Sus scrofa: one gene and its partners. The protein of the gene in region 3 purifies or fractionates together with the protein of the main gene of each other region. This does not show direct contact. Links are inferred from orthologs where the notes say so. Each region holds a gene or a part of one and is shown on either strand. Other genes may lie near its edges.

Region 1 (4,046 bases), on a different chromosome or scaffold from region 3:
TTTGACCTACACCACAGCTCACGGCAACGCCGGATCCTTAACCCCCTGAGCGAGGCCAGGGATAGAACCTGCGTCCTCATGGATGCTAGTCTGGGTTCATTACCGCTGAGCCACGTCGGGAACTCCCTATCTGGTCCTATTTCTGAAGCTTTGCTTACGCTCAGTCCCAGCCTATAACATCCCCTTCCAGCTTCCGCCCTCATCCGCTTCCTTCCCCGAGGTCAACTGACCTTCCTTCCTCAAGGTCAACTGCTCTGAACTCCTACCACATCAGGGGCCAAGCCATCCCGTGGCAGCACGTTATGTGGCTCTGTGTCTTGGTAGCCAGCAGGATGCTAAGAAAGCGACTATGTTTCACTTCCTGCGTCCCCATGGCACCTAAGAACGTGAGCTCTTTCAGGATAGACGTTTCTGTCTAAATCGTTGACTGCTATGTTCTCAGTACCTACGACAACGCCGGCCGCCATGTACTGAATACCTGCTGAGTATTTATTAAATAAAAATGTGCACGGGGACAAGGGCCCCAGGAAGAACGGGGGCTTGAGGAGGTGATGAGTTCAGGGAAAGGACGCATATGCAGTCAGGCGACGAGGACCAGTAAAGGAGATAAAGACTCAGTGAGATGAGGGTGGCCCGGCGACGGGGCTCAGGGAGGACAGCAGGACAGGCAGTCTCCGTGGGGGCTGGGTGTGCTGGCATCCCTGATTCTCAGAGAAGCCACCTCCGTTCCCTGGAGCCAGACAGCCAGGATTCAAGTCCTAGCCCTCCCCTTACTAACGGCATGACCTTGAGTAAATGAACCCCTGGGCCTCAGTTTCCTCATCTGTAAAATGGCGACAATGGCAGGACCCTCTTCTTACGCTTGCTGTGTGGATTAAATTAGCTCGTACGTGTCCATCACTTTGAACTGTGTCTGGTGTATAATAAGCTCTTGATAAGTGCGAGCTGCTGTATTATGTTAAGGGGTAACTCTGGCGTGGCTTTAAAATGTCCCATGGGTGCAGGTTGAGAGTGCTGGCTCTCAGGGCTGCCTCCCCCGCCTTGCTCTGGCTAGACCCCCTACCACAACCTACAACCCCCTTCCTTTTTCCTGGTCTCAGGTCTTCAGAAGAAAAAGGGTACAGAGAAGCAGAGGAGACGGGTTCCCTCTCGCCACGCACATGAGCTGCCAGGCTGGAGTGGGAGACGCCTGCAATGCCACATGTAACCACCAGGTGGCAACTTGGCCCACTCACCAAGGGGTTGCAGCGCCGGTGACTGGGGGCAGGGGCTGCAGAGTTGCTGGCTAAGCCCTTCCAGGAGGCCAAGCGCAGTCTGAGCCCAGGAGGGGCAGGTATGGGAGCGGGGCTGGGCAGCTCACCCCAGAGGTAAGGGCCAGCTACTCCCGGCAGCTGGTCTGGGCTTTCTGTCCAGCCAGGGCTGTGTCTCTCCAGTAAAATGCTTCCCTCCTCTGAGACAAGGCTGACCTCCTCCTCTCTCTGCCCTGGGCAGCTTCACCTTCTCCACTTCCCTCCTTTGCTCAGGGGCCTCCACGGACACAGCTCCCTCCCCTCCCCCCCGACCCCCCTTGCCACCCCCAACCCCCTGCTGATGGCCTCCCAAGAGAACTGGGAAGTTGGGCCAGAATGGCAGGGGAAACATCTTGCTCACTGTTGAAAACAATCTGAATTTCAGGTTTTTTCCAAAACAAATTAAAGGACACGAAGTCTGGAGAGGAAGAGATTAGAGGCAGGGAGATGAAGGAAGTGGGTACAGAGTGGTGCCAAGGACAAAGCGCTGAGGCCTGAGCCAGAGCAACGGAGCCACCTCCTCCAGGAAGCCCTCCCGACCTGCCAGCCTTCCCCTGTGCCCTCTGCAGAGTTCCCAAGGCTGGAATGCAGCCCCTCCTCACACACTTCCAGGCATTGTTCCTTCTATCCTCTTCGGACTTTTCCGATCCTGTCTCCCCCGACGGCCAGCAGGCAGCCCACACCCAGGCGGCCGAAGCTGCCTCTCCTCACCGCTTGTGGATCTTCTCCTCCAGGTTCTCTGCACAGAAGGCTTTTACTTCGTAGTCCACACCGCAGGCCTGTGGGGAAGGGTTTCTGAGCACAGGGCCTTGGAGAGGGCAGGCTCCTGTGGGCACGGCTGGCCTGCCCTCATTTACCAAGGCCACGGGACAGGAACACATGTTCCCACAGCCTGAGCCCTCTCGTGCACCGTGCACTGCGCTGCAAAGGAAAAAGTGCAGGGCTGCCTCCCCCATCCGACCCTCCCACGGAGCTGCTCCCTGACCGGCTCCTCTGAAGACTCCTGTCCACATCGAGGCAGCCGCCCAGCAAGGACAGCGGGACCTCGGCAGCCCCGCGCAGGGAGCGCCGCCTGCACGCGGACCCCGCACTGACCGCTGTGCCCTTCAGCATTCACTCCACCCTCCGGACACGCCACAAGGCAGGTCCCATCACCTCCATGTCGCAGATCTGAGGCCTGAGAGGTTCTCCGAGCCTCAGTCTCCCCCCCTGAGAAATGGTGATGGGTGCACCTCCACACAAGGTTGTGAGGCCCGACCGTTGTCCAGAGAACATTCTGCAGCCAACACCGAAGGGCAAGTGACTCAGGAGAGGCCCTGGGCACATCACTGAGCCAGGGGGCAAGGATGATACCATACCTGTCGCCCCATCTGAAAAGACTCCTCATCTGAGGTGGGATCAGCCTGGTCTAGACACAGGAGGTGTCTACAGGGAGGGTTCCAGCACCCCCAGAGAGAAGGTGGGGACTGGGGACACAGCGTCCTGGACCCAGAGAGATGCTCCCTTGGGGGGACCCACCTTCCCTGTGTCTTCAGGCCCCGGCTGCAACGTCACAGAGCATGGGAGGTTCGGAGGGATCTGTGAAGAGGACAGACGGACCTGTCACATTCACCTCGGGCCTCCCTGGGTCTCCGCCCCCACCCCCACCCCCCATTCATCAGAGCAGGGGCCCCTCAGGACAGGCTCCTTCCATCAGACTAGGGAATTCAGAGGACAGGCCACGTCTCCGCCATCAGACCACGCCGGGCCACGCCCCGTGTGAGACCAGAGGTCCCTCCAGCAAAGCCAAGAATTTCAGTGCTTTTCTTTATCTAAGGGTTTAGCCCAGCACAGGCCCCACAGAAGGAGAGCGGCAAAGGTCTTTCCAAGAAGTCCGCTGTGGTAGGCAGAGAAGTGGCCTCCCCCAGGGGTCTACCTCCTACTCTCCAAAGCCCAGCACTGTTGCCTTAAACGGCCCAAACGACTTTACAGGTGTGATGGAGGCTCCCGCGATGGGGAGAGTGGTCCCGATTATCCAGGTGGGCCTGATGTAAGCACAGGGTCCTTAACCGTGAAAGCAGGAAGCAGAGAAGTCAGCATCAGAGAGATGGGATCCGAGAAAGACAGGCTGGGCCCCTGCTGGCTTTGAAGATGGACCAGCGGTGGGCTGGGGCCAAAGAGTGTGAAATTGAAGCAGGAAAAAGCAAGGAAACAGAGTCCCTCCTGGAGCCTCCAGAACCAAGGCAGCCCTGCTGATACTGGATTTTTAGCCCAGTGAGACCTGTTGTGGACTTCCGACCTCCAGAACTGTAAGATAACACCTTTGTGGGATTTTTTTGAGTTTTTTTAGGGCCACACTTGCAGCATATGGAAGATCCCAGGCTGGGGGTCAAGTCGGAGCTGCAGCTGCCAGCCTGCACCACAGCCACACAGATCCGAGCCTCGCCCGTGAACTGCACCACAGCTCACGGCAACGCCAGATCTTTAACCCACGGAGCGAGGCCGGGATCCAACTCGCATCCTCATGGGTATTCGTCAGATTCGTTGCCACTGCGTCACAAGAGGAACTCCCACCACAGTTGTGTTTTAATTTGCAGGTTTAATTACAACCCGGTTTGCAGTGGTTTGTTACAGCAGCCACAGGAAACCACGAGAGGGTGGCTCTTTCTGTCTCTGACCCCCACAGAAAGCTGGGAGATTTCACTGATCGAAGAATCAGAGTCTGAGAAACAGGAAACTTGAAACTCCAGATTCTTGGAGTGGAAAGGGAGCCGAGCA
Region 2 (4,046 bases), on a different chromosome or scaffold from region 3:
GACGGCCGACGCCAGAGCCCTAGCAACACCGGATCCTTAACCCACTGAGCGAGTCCAGGGATCGGACCCATGAATTCCTAGTCGGATTCGTTTCCGCTGCGCCACTCGGGAACACCCAGCATTTTTCAGTTGTGTTTCATAGCCATTTCCACAAATCTAATTTTCTTGTAACTATTTATATCTCTATTTTTGGTGCTTTTCATTACCATTTTTCTTCTTGTATCTTCATTCCATAGAGTGAAGGAGAATTTTTATTTCCTTCAGTAATTTTCCTCTATGAAGGTTTTGAAGACCGTTTTATTCCTGAAGTTGGGCAGGAAATTAATCCTTTGCTACAGTAAACCACAGCATTCTCCGTCATGCCTGCTCCAAAGGCAGGAGACTCCAAAGTACTGAGCTAATAGGAAGGAGAGTTTTAATGGCCTTTTGGTGCCTTGATGCTCCTTACATTATCTTATATTGTAGGTACACCAGCTCGGGCAGCACCTAAAGTAGCCAATGGCAAAGCAGCTAGCAGCAGCAGTAGTAGCAGCAGCAGCAGTGATGATGACTCAGAGGAGGAGAAGGCAGCAGCCGTCTCCAAGAAGGTATGGGCCTTAACTTCAACCAGGGAAGAGGGCATTGGGGACGGAGGTGAGGGGTCTCTGTTTCATGGCAGGATTGGTTGGGTCAGCATTTTCCTGTGGTAATCGATTTTCTCCACGTAATGCAGACGGTACCTAAAAAGCAAGTTGTGGTCAAGGCCCCAGTGAAAGCAGCTGCTGCTCCTGCCCAGAAGAGTTCCAGCAGTGAGGACTCCTCCAGTGAGGAGGAAGAGGAAGAACAGAAGAAAAAACCAATGAAGAAAAAACCAGGTGAGGAGTTCCCTGGTGGTGCAGCGGGTTAAGGATCCAGCTTTGTCACTGCTGTGGCTCTGGTTACAACTTTGACTCAGGTTCGATCCTGGCAGATTCTGCATGCCATAAGCACAGCCAAAAAGCGCCAGGTGGCTGGACATGGGGAGTCAAGCTATGTGACTGTGAACAGGGCCCGATTGCAGAGAACCTCTGCAGTCACCATGTGGACCTCTTCCTAGAGCTACCTGGCATGGCAGCTAGCTTCTCCCAGAGAAAGGAGAATGCCACACACTGTCTTTTTTATAGCCTGGACTCGAAAGAGTGACATGTCATCATTTCTGTTTTTTTGGGTTTTTTAAAAAATTTTATTAGTTATTTTTGTCTTTTGTCTTTTTAGGGCCACACCTGTGGCATATGGAGGTTCCCAGGCTAGGGGGTCAGTGGGAGCTGTAGCTGCCAGCCTATGCCACACCTCACAGCAGTGCCAGATCCTTAACCCACTGGGTAAGGCCAGGGGTAGAACCCTCATCTTCATGGATACTCATTGGGTTCGTTAACCACTGAGCCATGAAGGGAACTCCCCACCATGTTCTTTTTGTCAGAAATGAGTCAACCCATCCTAACCTCTGCTCAGCTGAAGGGGAATTAAGCTCCATTTCTAGAAGGAAGAAGTATCAAAAGAATTCTGTACTTTTTTTTTTTTTTTGGTCTTTTTTTATAGGGCTGCACCCATGAGATGTGAAAGTTCCTAGGCTAGGGGTCGAAATCAGATCTGTAGCTGCTGGCCTATGCCACAAATGCAGCAAAGCCAGATCCAAGCCAAGTCTGCGACCTACACCACAGCTCATAGTAATGCTGGATCCTTTAACCCATTGAGTGAGGTTAGGGATCAAACCCGTGTCCCCATGGATACTTGTCAGGTTTATTCCCACTAAGCCACAATGGGAACTCCTATTTCTTTTTCTAATGGCTGCACCTGTGGACTATGGAAGTTCCCAGGCCAGGGATTGAACTTGAGCTACAGCTTCGACCTACGCCACAGCTGTGGCAATACTGCCTCCTTTAATTGCGCCTGATTGAACCTGTGTCTCTGTAGCAACCTGAGCTGCTGAAGTCGGATTCTTTTTTTTTTTTTATTGTTTTTTTGCCATTTCTTGAGCCGCTCCCCCAGCATATGGAAGTTCCCAGGCTAGGGGTCTAATCGGAGTTGTAGCCGCCAGCCTATGCCACAGCCACAGCAACGCAGCTGCATCTGCAACCCACACCACAGCTCACAACAATGCCAGATCCTTAACCCACTGAGTGGGGCTGGGATCAAACCCTCAACCTCCTGGTTCTCAGTCGGATTCGTTAACCACTGAGCCATGACGGGCACTCCTGAAGTCAGATTCTTAATCCATTGCATCACAGTGGGAACTCCACTGTACTTATTTTAAAACCACCACACTCTCCCTTCTAAATAGGTACTTATAGTTCAGTTCCCCCACCTTCCGTTCCGTCACCCAAGAAGCCCCTGGGAACCCAGGCTCCCAAGAAAGCTGCAGGGAAGCAGGAGCCTGTGGAGAGCAGTGAGGACAGCAGCGACGAGTCTGGTGAGTGGTCACCTGTGCTAAGTGGGAGTGGGGAGTGTGTGAGGAAATGCTTCTGTCCCTTCTGCTTTTCCCTGAAGCAAGACAGGGCTGAGGCTCTGTGTGAGTCTTCGCATCTTGTTTGTATTGCCCCTGGTTGGGGCGGGACTCTTGTTTGTATTGCCCCTGGTTGGGGGGGGGCTCTGGACCCAGCCTGAGCCATTGTTCACTCCAGATTCAAGTTCTGAGGAAGAAAAGAAACCCCCAGCTAAGGCAGTTGTACCAAAAGCCGCTACTAAAGCAGCTCCAGCAAAGAAGGCAGCAGAGAGCTCTTCAGATAGCTCAGGTAAGGCATATGGAGGCCTTTGGGGCAGTGGGAGCTCCAGGGACTCCCCAGAGTCTAGTTTGGGGAGCCACTCATTCTATTCTTGCTGTCTAGACTCTGACAGTTCTGAGGATGAAGCTCCTGCCAAGCCAGCCAGTGCCACCAAGAATTCAAGTAAGCCAGCTGCCACTCCCAAGCAGTCTATAGCTAAGCCAGCCACAAGTTCCAAGCAGCCTGTAGGCAGTGGCCAGAAGCCTCTGACCAGAAAGGCTGATAGCAGCTCCAGTGAGGAGGAGAGCAGTTCTAGTGAGGACGAGAAGATGAAGAAGACTGTAGCAACGCCTAAGTCCAAGGTGACGGCCAAAGCAGCTCCATCTTTGCCTGCCAAGCAGGCCTCTCAGGGTGGTGGGGATAGCAGTTCTGATTCAGACAGCTCTAGCAGCGAGGAAGAGGAGGAAGAGAAGACGTCTAAAACCCCAGCTAAAAAAATGCCACAGAAGGATGTGGGAGCTGTAGCCCCTTCTAAGCCAGCATCTGCGAAGCAAGCCAAGGCTGAGAGCAGCAGCAGTTCTTCCTCTGATGACTCCAGTGAGGAGGAGGAAGAGGACAAGCCCAAGGGCAAGAGCACTCCGAAACCACAGGCCCCCAAGGCCAATGGCACCACTGCATTGACTGCCCAGAATGGAAAAGCAGATAGGGATAGCAACGAGGAGGAAGAGGACAAGAAAAAGGCAGCAGTGGGAGTTTCTAAGCCAGGTCTGTATCCAGAGAACCTGCCCCCCAAATCAGGATGGGCTGTAGTCCTGGGGTGGGGTGGGCTGGGATAGGGAGCTGAGGCCCATAAGTGGCTTCCAGGAAACCAGTCTCCTGAGGCTTATTTTCTGTTGTACAGGTTCAGGAAAGAAGCGGAAGCAAAATGAGGCTGCTAAGGAGACAGAGACACCTCCAGCCAAGAAGATAAAGCCCCAGACTCCCAACACATTTCCTAAAAGGAAGAAAGTAAGCAGTCTTATTTTCCTCTCAGGAGCCAGCTTTTAGAGTAGGAAGAAAAATCTCGGATCGACTCTGACTGTTCTTTTTTTTGTCTTTTTGCTATTTCTTTGGGCCCCTCCCGCGGCATATGGAAGTTCCCAGGCTAGGGGTTGAATCGGAGCTGTAGCCACCGGCCTACACCAGAGCCACAGCAACGCGGGATCCGAGCCGCGTCTGCAACCTACACCACAGCTCACAGCAACGCGGGATCATTAACCCACTGAGCAAGGCAGGGACCAAACCCGCAACCTCATGGTTCCTAGTTGGATTCATTAACCACTGTGC
Region 3 (4,046 bases):
CTTCTCTCCTCTTTGATTTTGTACAGTTCTTATTTTGCATTATCATTTAAACGATTAAGCAAGGTATAAAATGCATGTTCGGTATGATTCACATATTTGAAGAAATATGCTCAGAAAAATAAATGGAAGAATAATTTGCCAAATTATGTGTGGTAAGAATATGGGTAATTTCCCCCACCTTTTTAAAAAATGATTTTCACATATTCTATAATGAATACTCCATGATGAAGCCTGTATTTCTTTTACAATCGGAAATGTATTTAAAAATTAAGAAATTACCTTCTGTCTAAGTAAAAACCAGTAACGCAGAGAACGCTAACTCCCCGGCAGAGCTACGACTGCTGTTGGTTAAGCACAAACTGCTCTGAGAACAGAGCTGTCAGGCCTCAGGCGGTCACCCCAGCCGGTGCTCTGGAACCAGAGTGCCGGCACGGCCACGCTGCACACCTCCAGACACACCAAGATCGACACGGCCCAGACACACACAGGAGGGGCCTGCCCGCCGCCCTCTGTGAAATCTCCTTGCAGCAGCTCTCCTCAAAATATGGGCTTCTTTCTTTCGCTATCAGAATCACCTGGGGGGCTTGTGAAAACGGAGCTCCTGGAGTTCCCGTTGCGGCTCAGCGGTAAAGAACTTAACTAGTAACCATGAGGACGAGGGTTCGATCCCTGGCCTCGCTCAGTGGGAAGGATCCGGCGTTGCTGTGGCTGTGGCTGTGGTGCAGGCCGGCAGCTGCAGCTCCGATTGGACCCCTAGCCTGGGAACCTCCGTGAGCTGTGGGAGGAAGAAGCCCTACAAAAAAAGGAGGGAAAAATAAAAGTGCAGTTCCTGGGCCGCACTGACCAAAGCAGATGCAAGGGCCCAGCTATGCTTTTGTTCACCACTGGACACCCAACACCGGGGACATGACAGCCCAGAGGAAGCGCTCAAGTCAAGACTAAGACAGGGGAGCTCCCATCGTGGCTCACTGGTTAACGAATCCGACTAGGAACCAGGAGGTTGCAGGTTCAGTCCCCAGCCTCACTCCCCAGTGGGTTAGGGATCCAGTGTGGCTGTGAGCTGTGGTGTGGGTCGCAGACGTGGCTTGAATCTGGTGTTGCTATGGCCCTGGAGGCTAAAGCTCCGATTAGATCCCTAGCCTGGGAACCTCCATATGCCGGAGGTGCGGCCCTAAAAAGACAAAAAAAAAAACCAAAAAAAAACTAAAACAGGTATGAGGGGCCCTTCTGACGAACCTCTCCAGGGGCCTGGTCCTCCAGGGCACACACAGTGAAGGAGAAGCGGGCGGCGGGCCCGCCCCTGGAACAATCTGGCATCAGTGGCTTGTTCCCCAAGGAGCAGGCACCGGGCTGGGCTCACCCCGCACAGTGGACTTACTGGCTTTGGCATTTCTGGCTTCGGCCGCTTCCTCCTCCTCCTCCTCCTCCTCCGAGCTCTCCGAGCTGCTGATGGGGTCTGACACGCGGGTCTTCTTGGCCTGCAGGGCTGCGTCTTCCTCCGCCTTCCGCTTCCGGCCAAGCTCCGAGGTTCTGCAGGACAAGGGTGACTGACCTGCTCCACCGAGGGACAAGGGCGACCCCAGGAGAGTCAAAAAGGAAGATCCTCCCGCCCCTCCCGCCCCCGAGGAAACGTGTGTGAAGCTACAGAAACACTGTGGATGCAAGTTTGGGGTCTGCAATCTCACGCCATCGCGTCCTTACAGCCACCTCTGCGTCTTCAAAGCGGCAGCAGCGCGCCGTCCCTGAGCGCCCCGGGCCGGCACTGCGGACACAGCACGGCAGTCGGGCTGGGCTCCGGGGGCTCCAAAGCGGGGGCGCCTGCACTGCCCTCTTCCTGGCCTGGCCTCGGCTCCAGCACAGCCTCCTCAGAGGCCTCCCTCCCACGGGACCGGTTCTGCCCTGCCGTCCTGGGTCACATGCTTCTCTCCTGTTATTTCACCCACTTCCTGCTCGACGCCCCCCCGCCCCCGTACAGGCAGGCCTGGGAGGGGGGTGCTGGCAGGAACCCTCGCGCCTCACTACAGCCCCTCGAGCGCCCAGCGCAGGCTAAGTGACGCGCCCAGGGGCAGGAAGAAGGCTGGGGCTCCAGGGAGGGGGTGAGCACCCAGACGGCCGAGTCGCGGGAACTTGGAACTCGGAAGCCGTGTCGCCTCTGACCCCAGCCCCCTGCCCGGAGGGAGTCCCTGTCTGTGCCCCGTGGTCTCCAGCTGGGACAGACGCGGCTCTGCCACAGTCTGGGGTGTGCTGCTCGGGCCCCATGTTCCCAGCAAGGCCACCTGCCGGGATCTTCTGCAAAACCAGGTTCGTTTACTCTGAGGCCCAGTTCGCTCCGCCTCTCTCCTCCCAGCAGAACGCAAGCGGCACAGAAGCAGGCGTTTTGTCTGGTTCGCTCCCAGCTACGGTAAGAACAGCGCTGGCGCACGGCAGGCGCTCAGTGAACCCTGGGGGTGGGGGTGGGGTGGCCATGCCTCCGGCGGCAGGTGTAGCGCGTCATCTGCTCTTCTCTATTTCACGGGTGGAGATGGACTTGGGGAGGCCAAGTTTGTCCACGGTGATCCACTTGTCGCTGGGTTCGCACCACTAGCTAGGAGGGCTCTGGTCCTCAGCGCCCCCCACCCGAGGAGGGGCCTGTGCAGGGAGGGGTGGCGGCGGGCCCGCTGAAGCAGTTCTCTGGGAAAGGAAGTGCCAAGCCCACGCCCAGACACCGGGCAGGAGGAAGGGGGGCCCCGCGCACCTAGCAGCAGAGCAGAGACAAGACAGCTCTCCCCCGGCCGAGCTCTCCACCCGAGGGGGGCCCCGACACCAGCCTGCCCTGTTGGCACACCCGAGGCCGGGGAGCCCACCCTCCACAGCAGCTGCCCTCATCGTGGCGACTGAGACCCACTGCTTCCACTCGGAAGCTGAGCCCGTCTTCCTCGAGCAGGTACATTCATTCCGACTTCAGTCTCTGAGGCCCCCGAGGACCCCCCACGCTCTCCGTCCTCAGAGATGGCAGACCTGGTCCCGCACCTGCCTCTCTGCCGCCTTTTCCATCTCGGACCTCCTGTACCCCTGCCATTCCTCAGGGGACACGATCAGGTCCTTCACAGCCCGAGCTGCTGCGGTTGGGCCGCTTCACGGGCAGAACGACTGTCCCCGCGTCATTCTCAAACCACTCCTCTGCTGTCCCCCCATCACCCCTCCCCCTGTACACGTGGCACAGGCTCATCACATTCCACGTGCCCTTGAACGCTCTCCCCCCATCAGGCTCCTTCCACGCAGGTGTACAAGCCAGACACCCGGGGGCGCCCGGCGCCCCCGCCGCCCCCGCCCCGTGGCTCTTGTTGGGACGCCGACGCCCACACACCGGCCTGCCGACCTCACCCCTGGCGGCTTCCCCGCCCCGTGGCTCCCACGGCGCTGGGGACAAAGACACGCCTTCACGCCGTGGGTCGGGCCCCGCTGACCTCGCCTGCTCCGTGCCTGCTGCTACTGGCCTCAGCGCCAGCAGGTGCCCCGCCAGGGCTTGGCCTCTCCATACCTACCGCCTAGTTCACTGCCCACGCCCCGATGCGGTCACATCAAAGCCCAGAGGCCACGCTAAGCTGTTAGGTGGCCGGGCCCTGGACACCGCTTCTCCCCACCCTCACCGCCCCGCAACTTCCCCGCCCTCGTCTCAGTGTCTGAGGCCTGTCTCACTCCAGACAGCATCTCTGTACCTAGAACAGACCCGACTGACTGAAGGAGGACCAGCTGCTGAGAAGCTTCGTCCTTAAGAGGCGCTGATCCCAGGTCTCAGCATCCTCTCCACGACCAGACACCCACACCTGGGATCTGGCTTCTTGGAGGTGACAACAGAATCTGCAGGGGGGATGGGGGCAGCCCTAGACCAGCTGAGAGCTGGGGGGCTTGTCTCCCTACTTGGTCCCCGGCGCCCGCGGACTTACTGTTGCCAGTGCGTGTAAATGTCCAGAAGGGTCACAGGCTGAGTCAGGAAGCTCTTCTGCAGAGAAACAAAGGGGACGCAGCAATTAACCCCAGAGCACAGCAAGGGTCCTGCCCGGGCC
Region 4 (4,046 bases), on a different chromosome or scaffold from region 3:
GTCTGAGGCCTGGAAGAATGACTGGTAGGACTATTTACATTTACTGTAGTCTTTTTTCTTTTTGGTCTTTTTTAGGGCCACATTTGTGGCATATGGAAGTTCCTAGGCTAGGGGTCAAATCAGAGGTGTAGCTGCTGGCCTATGCCACAGCTCATGGCAATGCCAGATCCTTAACCCACTGAGCGAGGCCAGGGATCGTACCCGCATCCTCATGGATAGTAGTTGGGTTCGTTATCGCTGAGCCATGACAGGAACTCCAACATTTGCTGTCCTCTAATGCTTACGGACCAGCAGGCTCAACATCACAGAGTCATGTATTCTTTGGGCAAGATTTAGTTAACCTCCAGAGAGGAGAAAAGGGAGAAAGGAAGATAGTGTATTGGTCAAGCAACAGAGAGAAAACTGAGACATGTCACTCGACCACCCTTACACAGTCTCTCTGTCACTGGACTAAATGACCTTGCATTTTGCACTGTCTATAATCAAAGTCCGGGACATACTTTACCGGGGGCGGGGAGACCATAGACATGAATACCAATAAGCATCCACATAAAGTGAATATACACACATACTTCAAGGTGAGACCTAAGAGGTGGGTAACTCGGGATTTTAGTAAGGTCCTTCCTTTCCTCAAACTCTTTGTACTTACTTATTTCCTCCTTAAAAAATACACTATGATCACCTTATTACTTTCAACAAATCATTTGTTTTTTGGTTGTTTTTTTAAATGGCGGCACCTGTGGCATATGGAAATTCCCAGGCTACGGACTGAATCCAATCCACAGCTGCAGCAACGCTGGATCCTTTAACCCACTGTGTCAGGCTGGGATCAAACATGTACCTCTGCAGCAACCTGAGCTGCTGCAGTCTGGTTCTTAACCCACCAGACCACAGTGGGAACTCCAAATCATGTTTTATTGGCGGGGGTGGGGGGAAATCTCTGAATAGGTTTCCACACAAATGTACATATTTGAAAACAAAATTTTAGATACTTGTGATCTATCAACTCAGAGTCACAGGCTACAGTCCAACAGACCAGACTCAAGGGAGCCCCAGTGGTGAATAAGCAAATACCTTTGCAGGGTTGTTTCAATAGTCTAGAACTAATGAGGCCAAATACCAAGGATGATTCATCCAGATACGCAGAATTCTCTCAACCAGCCTCTAAGATAAAGGGTAGAAGAATTTCTCTGACAAATCAGGCCCCTGGAGACTCACAGAAGTACGGGTGCTCCATGGCCTCTTTGGCGGTCAGTCTCTGTTGATGGTCATATCGCAGAAGTTTGTCCAGAAGATCTAGGGCCTCAGGGCTGACGAGGTGTCTGTTCTCACTATGGATAAAGTTTTCCCAGCGTTTCCGTGAATGTCTGAGAAGAAAAGGAAAGCACTGGTATTCTGAGACTAATTCAACAAGAATCCTTACGTATTAGGGCTCAAGCCAGCAAAGTCTTAGAACACTGTGCTGATTACAAGCTCATTAAATCTGAGTTCCCGTCATGGCGAAGTGGAAACAAGTCTGACTAGGAACCACGAGGTTTCGGGTTTGATCCCTGGCCTCGCCCAGTGGGGTGGGGATCTGGCGTTGCCATGAGTGTGGTGTAGGTCGCAGACGTGGCTCGGATCTGGCATTGCTTTGGCTGTGGTGTAGACTGGCAGCTACAGCTCCTCCATATGCTGCAGGAGCAGCCCTAAAAAGACAAAAAAAAAGACAAGCTCATTAAACCTCTTTCTTACTGGTGCCTGTCCCACCTCCCCTCACAGTTATGATCACAACATTCTCAAAAAAAAAAAAAGTGCTCTGTGACTGCTAACACAGAATTAATTAAAACTTCTACATCTGATTTAGAAGTTGTGGAACCTTTTTAGATAAATTTTTATATCCCAGGCTTTGTCAATTCTGGGTTAGGCAAAGAGGTAGCTGAGTAATCTTTATTGTTTAGCAGGTACATTTACAGCATTAGCTTTAGAAACACGGAGGTTCTATAAATTACTGTCTAAAAATTGTCAATACTACATTTACTTTTCAACACTATTGTACTGTATCTGAAAACATGCTTTAAAATTTGCTCCCTTCTAGAAAATCCATTACACAGAACAATAAGCAACCAACTCTCTTTTTTTTAGGGCCACATCCATATGGACGTTCCCGGGCTAAGGGTTGAATGAGAGCTATAGCTGCTGGCCTACACCACAGTCACAGCAATGCGGGATCCAAGCTCAGTCTGCAACCTACACTGCAGCTCATGGCAATGCCAGATCCCTAACCCACCAAGCGAGGTCAGGGATCAAACCCACATCCTCATGGACACCAGCCAGGTTTGTTACCACTGAGTCACAATGGGAACTCCCCAAAAATCAAAGAATTACAGCTTTCCATAATCTTCCATTACTACTGTATAGCATAGGGAACTGTGTCCAATCTCTTGGAACAGAACATAAGAGATGATATAAGTATATATATATATACATATATACACACAAACACACATATATATGACTGGGTCACTTTACTGTACAGAAGAAATTGGAACAGTATAAATCAATTGTACTGTAATAAAAAAATACAAAAAATTTTTCCATTAAAATAAGCATATGCTGTACTAGATTTTGTCTTCCATTTTCTATTGATAAACAGGTTATCTCTCAGAGAATTATACTGATTAGAAGACACATGTGTAAACAATGCCCAATATTTCAAGGTAAGTTAAAAAATAATACAAATGGGGGGAAAAAGTATTTCCATCCTGACACGATTAGAAAGGGGAAAAGAGCTTTTAGAAAGCTAACCTTTTCACTTCTGAAATGGGCTAAGTTAAAACCCTCTTTCTTTCTCTCTCTTACTTACTGTCCCAGGATATCGTTGAAGTGTGGATCTAGGTCTATGTGATACTTCTTCAGATACCCATACAGCTCATCTGTACCCAGAACCTTGGCAATGCGAACAAGCTGAAACACAAAACAAACTGACCAAATCACTGAGCACAGAACTCACTGCCAAGCCCGTGGACATGCTGGACCAAGGAATCAGAAGACTTCCACATCAGTAAATCTCCAGGGACCAGATACAGATCTGAGCCTGGGGTGGACAGGCAGCAGACCCATGGATACGAAGTTCACATGAATGCAAATTTCCAAAATGCCTTTAAAACAGTAACAACAACTTAAGGCAATAACAGTTATGTTGGTATAACATCTAATGATTAGAACCTTATTTTATTAGACAAGGAGGTACTTGACTTCTTCACAGACTCACTTTGGAAGTTGGGCATAACAGCATTATCTGTCTTTATCTATAGGGACCCGGTAACTACAGACAAGATTCTGTGAAATTCTTTACTCTGAAAAAAGCTTATATGCATAGCATCCCTACAAGATGCTATTTTCTTGGCATCTGTCCCCAAATGGATAGGAGTCAGATGGTATTTGCTTACCTGGTCATAGTTATCCTGTCCATGAAAGAAGGGCTCCTTTCGAAAGATCATGCTTGCTAACATACAGCCCAAACTCCACATATCCAAGCTATAATCATACATCTGAGGAAATAAAGACAACCAGTCATCAAGGGTGTTACAAATGCCATTTTTCTGACCTGAGTTTCTAGTCTTTAGCTGACCTCTGCAGATGTTTTAAAATTCAAAGGAAAAAAAAAAAGAAAAAAGAAGCTGAGAAAAACGAGTAATTATCATTTTGAGATAGAATAGACAGGATTTTGAACGTATCCAAATTGACTAAATAAAAATCAGGGAAGAAAAAAAAAAAAAAAAAAAAACCCCACAGGAAAAGCCCTAGAGAAAAAAAAAAGGAACCCAGAGGTGCTTCACTAACAATTTTACCTGATAGTCCACAAGGAGCTCTGGTCCCTTGAAGTACCGCGAGGCTACTCGGACATTGTACTCCTGAGCTGGATGATAGAATTCTGCCAAACCCCAGTCTATCAGTCGCAGCTATAAGTATGGCAAATAAAACGTGGGAAAGGAATGTTTTTTAGATGCCTGTGTCTTACAACAAGGCCACATCATTTTAGATAAGTATTTGGCCACATAAAG
Region 5 (3,589 bases), on a different chromosome or scaffold from region 3:
CGTTCTCCCACAGACACTCCTGCAACCTGCCCATTCAGGTCCCCTGCGGGGAGGTCCTCTGGGAAGAGCCTAAGTGGTTCCTGTGGCAACCCAGCGGCCAAGGCCACGGGAGGAGGGGAAGGAGTGAGGGTGGAGCTAGGGGGGTTGCCATGGGAACCCGCTTTGAGGGGCTGCCGCCGTGCTGGGACTATGAAGGACCTGTGGTTGGCTACCTTTCCTTCTGGGAAGAAGTGGGAGGGGGTAGGGCTGGGTAAAGCCCAGAGGCCTCCAGGCAAGAAGCTCGGGGGAGCTTTGCTTCTCAGGCTGGGGAGGGACAAGGTCCTGGCACCAGGGTCCCTGCTGAGTCTGAGGGAGGCAGTGGGGTTTCCCTTTCTGTTTTGTTAGGGTCTTCAAGAAGTCGAGTCCTAACTGCAAGGTGAGTCTCCCAACCCTCCCAAAGCCGGGCCTGCCCCTAGCCGATCCCCAACCCCCGGCTCCCCACTTCCTGTGACAGCTAAGCGCCCACTTCCTTCCCTCCTGAAGCCCCTAGCTGCAGAGGCCTGAGCCAGCCACAGGGCTGGGTGGGGACAGGCTTGGGTCCCTAAGCAAGACCAGGGGGAAGGGCCAGAAGCCCAAGCCTGGAGCCCTCTTGGGAGCCAACCCACCATTCCCGGGGGCTAGGGACAGATACCATGGCCCCAGGCTATGGCCCCTGTATCCCAGAGGTCCTTGGCATCGGTGAGGCTCTCTGCCTGCCTAGGGCCTGGTCCTCCTGGACCCATACACACACACAAACACCCGACTTGTGGGCAGAGGTGTGAAAAGTTATCAGAGAGCTGTTACAAACCTCCAGGTTGGGTGGTCTGGGAGGCCCCACCACTCTCCTCTTCCAGCCCTACTGGGAGGAAACCAGGAGAAACTCCTTCCAGATACCCCAGCCTGGGAAGGCCAGGGGCAGGGCAGCCACTTCTGAGGGCTCTGCAGCCCTGCCCCCCTCCTACCCAACCTTCCCTGTGCCCCCTCTGCATCCTCAGCTCACTGTGTACCTGGGCAAGCGGGACTTTGTAGATCACCTGGATAAAGTGGATCCTGTGGGTAAGTGTGCTCAGAAAGTCCTCGTGTCCCCGGGAGGGGAAGAAGCTCCTGGGCCCGGGGATGGAGGAGAGGCCCCGACAGGGACTCAGCTCCTGTGTCCCCTTCCCAGATGGCGTGGTGCTTGTGGACCCTGACTACTTGAAGGACCGCAAAGGTACTGGCCCCGAGTCCAGGGGCCCAAGGGCCGGGAGGAGGGCGGGGAAATGAAACAGGCTGGCCTCTCCAGGGGCCCCAGGGAGATGGGAGGGCCGGGGCGGAAGCCAGAGGTAGGAATGCGGGCAGGTTTCATGCTGCCGAGGAGGGAGCAGCTGCCACTCAGGACCCCTGACCGCCCCACCTCGCCCTCTCTTGCCAGTGTTTGTGACCCTCACCTGCGCCTTCCGCTATGGCCGCGAAGACCTGGATGTGCTGGGCTTGTCCTTCCGCAAAGACCTGTTCATCGCCACCTACCAGGCCTTCCCGCCGATGCCCAACCCGCCCCGGCCCCCCACCCGGCTGCAGGACCGGCTGCTGAGGAAGCTGGGCCAGCACGCCCACCCCTTTTTTTTCACAGTGAGGATGCCCCCACACACACCCCCTGCAGAGCAAGGGCTCTGGGACTGTGTTTGGGGGGTGAGGCACCTGCTCCAGGCAGGTCTGGAAGAAACAGGGAGGAGAGACCCCAGATCCCCGTCCTTGAGGGTCGCCTTGCACACAGGAAGCTCTTGCCTCTCTGCCTTCTTCCCCCCTCCCCCCGGTGGAGGGGGCCCTTCCTGTGTCCTTTCTCATCCCCAGGGGTCCTTCTCCAGCCTCTTAAGTTGAGATTGGGAGGAAGATTTCGGGGGGCTTTCGGGAAGGACTGAAGCCTCTCCTTTCCTCCGCCACAGATACCCCAGAACCTGCCCTGCTCCGTCACCCTGCAGCCAGGCCCAGAGGACACAGGGAAGGTACGGGAGGAACAGGGTCCTAGGGGCACACTTGGGGGGGGATGGGCCCTGAGAAGTCCAGGTGGGGCTAAGGGTAGGAAAATGTCCCTGGGAGCAGTGGGCACGTGCAAGGAATGGTCACTGCGCATGTGGGACACTGCCTCCTGCTCATGACCTGCACACAGCGGCGTATGGGGGCTCGCCTCGCACAGCCAGGTCCGACCTCTGCCGGGTGCCGGGCCTCGCGGAGACAGAGGAGGAAGACCTGGGCCCTGCACGCCTCAGAGCATGATGGGGCAAGAGTGGCTGCCCAAGACGAAGGCAGCGGGAAGGAAGGGAGTGGTGGTGGCGGCAGGGGCTTGTGTAAGATGTGACCTTTTCTCCCCCTCTCAAGGCCTGCGGGGTGGACTTTGAGATTCGAGCCTTCTGTGCCAAATCGGTAGAAGAGAAAAGCCACAAAAGGTGAGGAAAGCACCCCCCCCCTTGGGTCTGACCATAACCTCCCAGCTCCCAGGCCTGGTTGGAGGTGAGAAGTGAGGGGTGAGAACTCGGCCACGGCCACGTCTGGAGTCTGTCTGACCCCTCCTCCCTGCCCCCAGGAACTCTGTGCGGCTGGTGATCCGAAAGGTGCAGTTTGCCCCCGAGAAACCCGGCCCCCAGCCTTCAGCTGAAACCACACGCCACTTCCTCATGTCTGACCGGTCCCTGCACCTCGAGGCGTCCCTGGACAAGGAGGTGGGGGGGGCGACAGGGTGCTGCAGTGCAGGCCAGACCCTGGGGAGGGGCGCTTCTAAAGGAGGCTGCCTTCCTTGCAGGGGTGGGCTTGGCTTTAGATGGAGGAGGCCCAGCACTGGGTGTGTGTTTGCGGGAGGTGGGGGCGCAGTAATAACAGGACCAGTGAAGAGACATCAATTAACTTTCCCCCCAAAAGCTGTACTACCATGGGGAGCCCCTCAATGTCAACGTCCACGTCACCAACAACTCCACCAAGACTGTCAAGAAGATCAAAGTCTCTGGTAGGAGGTGGGGGTTGGAAAATTGCCTGAAGGGAGGGAGTTTCAGCCACAGGACATACCCCAGGGCTGGAGACCCCGGGGGGCTCAAGGAATGCAGGCTGTCCCAGGATGGGGGGGTGGGGGGCACATGTCCTCAGGCAGGGATGCTAAAGGGCCAGGACCTGGGGTCCTTGCGGGGGGGGGGGGCGCGGGCTGGAGTTGGGTGGGCTGCTGTCTACACTCCATGCAGAGCTGCTTGGCCCCGCCCCACAGTGAGACAGTACGCGGACATCTGCCTCTTCAGCACGGCCCAGTACAAGTGCCCCGTGGCTCAGCTCGAACAAGAGTGAGTAGCAGAAGAGCCCTGGGTCCCCCTGGTCAGGGGGGAAGAGGGGCCCCGGAGTGTGAGGAAGGCGGGAGTCCTTCCCCGCTGTCTCCGCTTCCAAGCACATTCCCTCCCGTTGGGGGCTCTGAGCCGCTCATGTTCTGGAGCGGGTTGAGCCCGTGACCCAAGGCCAAAGGGAGAAGGGGCCGGTGATGGGGCAGAAGCCGCTTGGGGGTGGGAGCCACCCCCTCCGCCCGCCTGGCCCTTCCCAGAGTTTCCTTCTCGTGTCC

What was found.
Region 1: the proteins of TCOF1 (region 3) and ARRB1 purify together in Homo sapiens (affinity purification with western blotting; 5 studies listed by BioGRID and IntAct, with this or other methods). This does not show direct contact. The link is inferred for Sus scrofa from reciprocal best matches to the Homo sapiens genes TCOF1 and ARRB1.
Region 2: the proteins of TCOF1 (region 3) and NOLC1 purify together in Homo sapiens (affinity purification with western blotting; 4 studies listed by BioGRID and IntAct, with this or other methods). This does not show direct contact. The link is inferred for Sus scrofa from reciprocal best matches to the Homo sapiens genes TCOF1 and NOLC1.
Region 4: the proteins of TCOF1 (region 3) and CSNK2A2 purify together in Homo sapiens (affinity purification with mass spectrometry; 3 studies listed by BioGRID and IntAct, with this or other methods). This does not show direct contact. The link is inferred for Sus scrofa from reciprocal best matches to the Homo sapiens genes TCOF1 and CSNK2A2.
Region 5: the proteins of TCOF1 (region 3) and ARRB2 purify together in Homo sapiens (affinity purification with western blotting; 4 studies listed by BioGRID and IntAct, with this or other methods). This does not show direct contact. The link is inferred for Sus scrofa from reciprocal best matches to the Homo sapiens genes TCOF1 and ARRB2.

Annotation. Positions count from the first base shown.
Region 1 is NC_010451.4:9,536,242-9,540,287, forward strand, and holds part of ARRB1 (beta-arrestin-1), read right to left. Parts: intron 2,868-4,046; coding exon 2,808-2,867; intron 2,069-2,807; coding exon 2,001-2,068; intron 1-2,000. UniProt on the Homo sapiens protein: Functions in regulating agonist-mediated G-protein coupled receptor (GPCR) signaling by mediating both receptor desensitization and resensitization processes.
Region 2 is NC_010456.5:113,160,649-113,164,694, forward strand, and holds part of NOLC1 (nucleolar and coiled-body phosphoprotein 1), read left to right. Parts: intron 1-465; coding exon 466-587; intron 588-712; coding exon 713-854; intron 855-2,299; coding exon 2,300-2,428; intron 2,429-2,639; coding exon 2,640-2,750; intron 2,751-2,843; coding exon 2,844-3,485; intron 3,486-3,621; coding exon 3,622-3,728; intron 3,729-4,046. UniProt on the Homo sapiens protein: Nucleolar protein that acts as a regulator of RNA polymerase I by connecting RNA polymerase I with enzymes responsible for ribosomal processing and modification.
Region 3 is NC_010444.4:151,370,863-151,374,908, reverse strand, and holds part of TCOF1 (treacle protein), read right to left. Parts: intron 3,983-4,046; coding exon 3,927-3,982; intron 1,531-3,926; coding exon 1,379-1,530; intron 1-1,378.
Region 4 is NC_010448.4:19,981,903-19,985,948, forward strand, and holds part of CSNK2A2 (casein kinase II subunit alpha'), read right to left. Parts: intron 3,945-4,046; coding exon 3,834-3,944; intron 3,534-3,833; coding exon 3,432-3,533; intron 2,947-3,431; coding exon 2,846-2,946; intron 1,368-2,845; coding exon 1,219-1,367; intron 1-1,218.
Region 5 is NC_010454.4:52,163,845-52,167,433, reverse strand, and holds part of ARRB2 (beta-arrestin-2), read left to right. Parts: intron 1-358; exon of another isoform or gene 359-384; coding exon 385-415; intron 416-1,013; coding exon 1,014-1,074; intron 1,075-1,183; coding exon 1,184-1,228; intron 1,229-1,429; coding exon 1,430-1,626; intron 1,627-1,940; coding exon 1,941-2,000; intron 2,001-2,373; coding exon 2,374-2,441; intron 2,442-2,578; coding exon 2,579-2,714; intron 2,715-2,910; coding exon 2,911-3,320; intron 3,321-3,589. UniProt on the Homo sapiens protein: Functions in regulating agonist-mediated G-protein coupled receptor (GPCR) signaling by mediating both receptor desensitization and resensitization processes.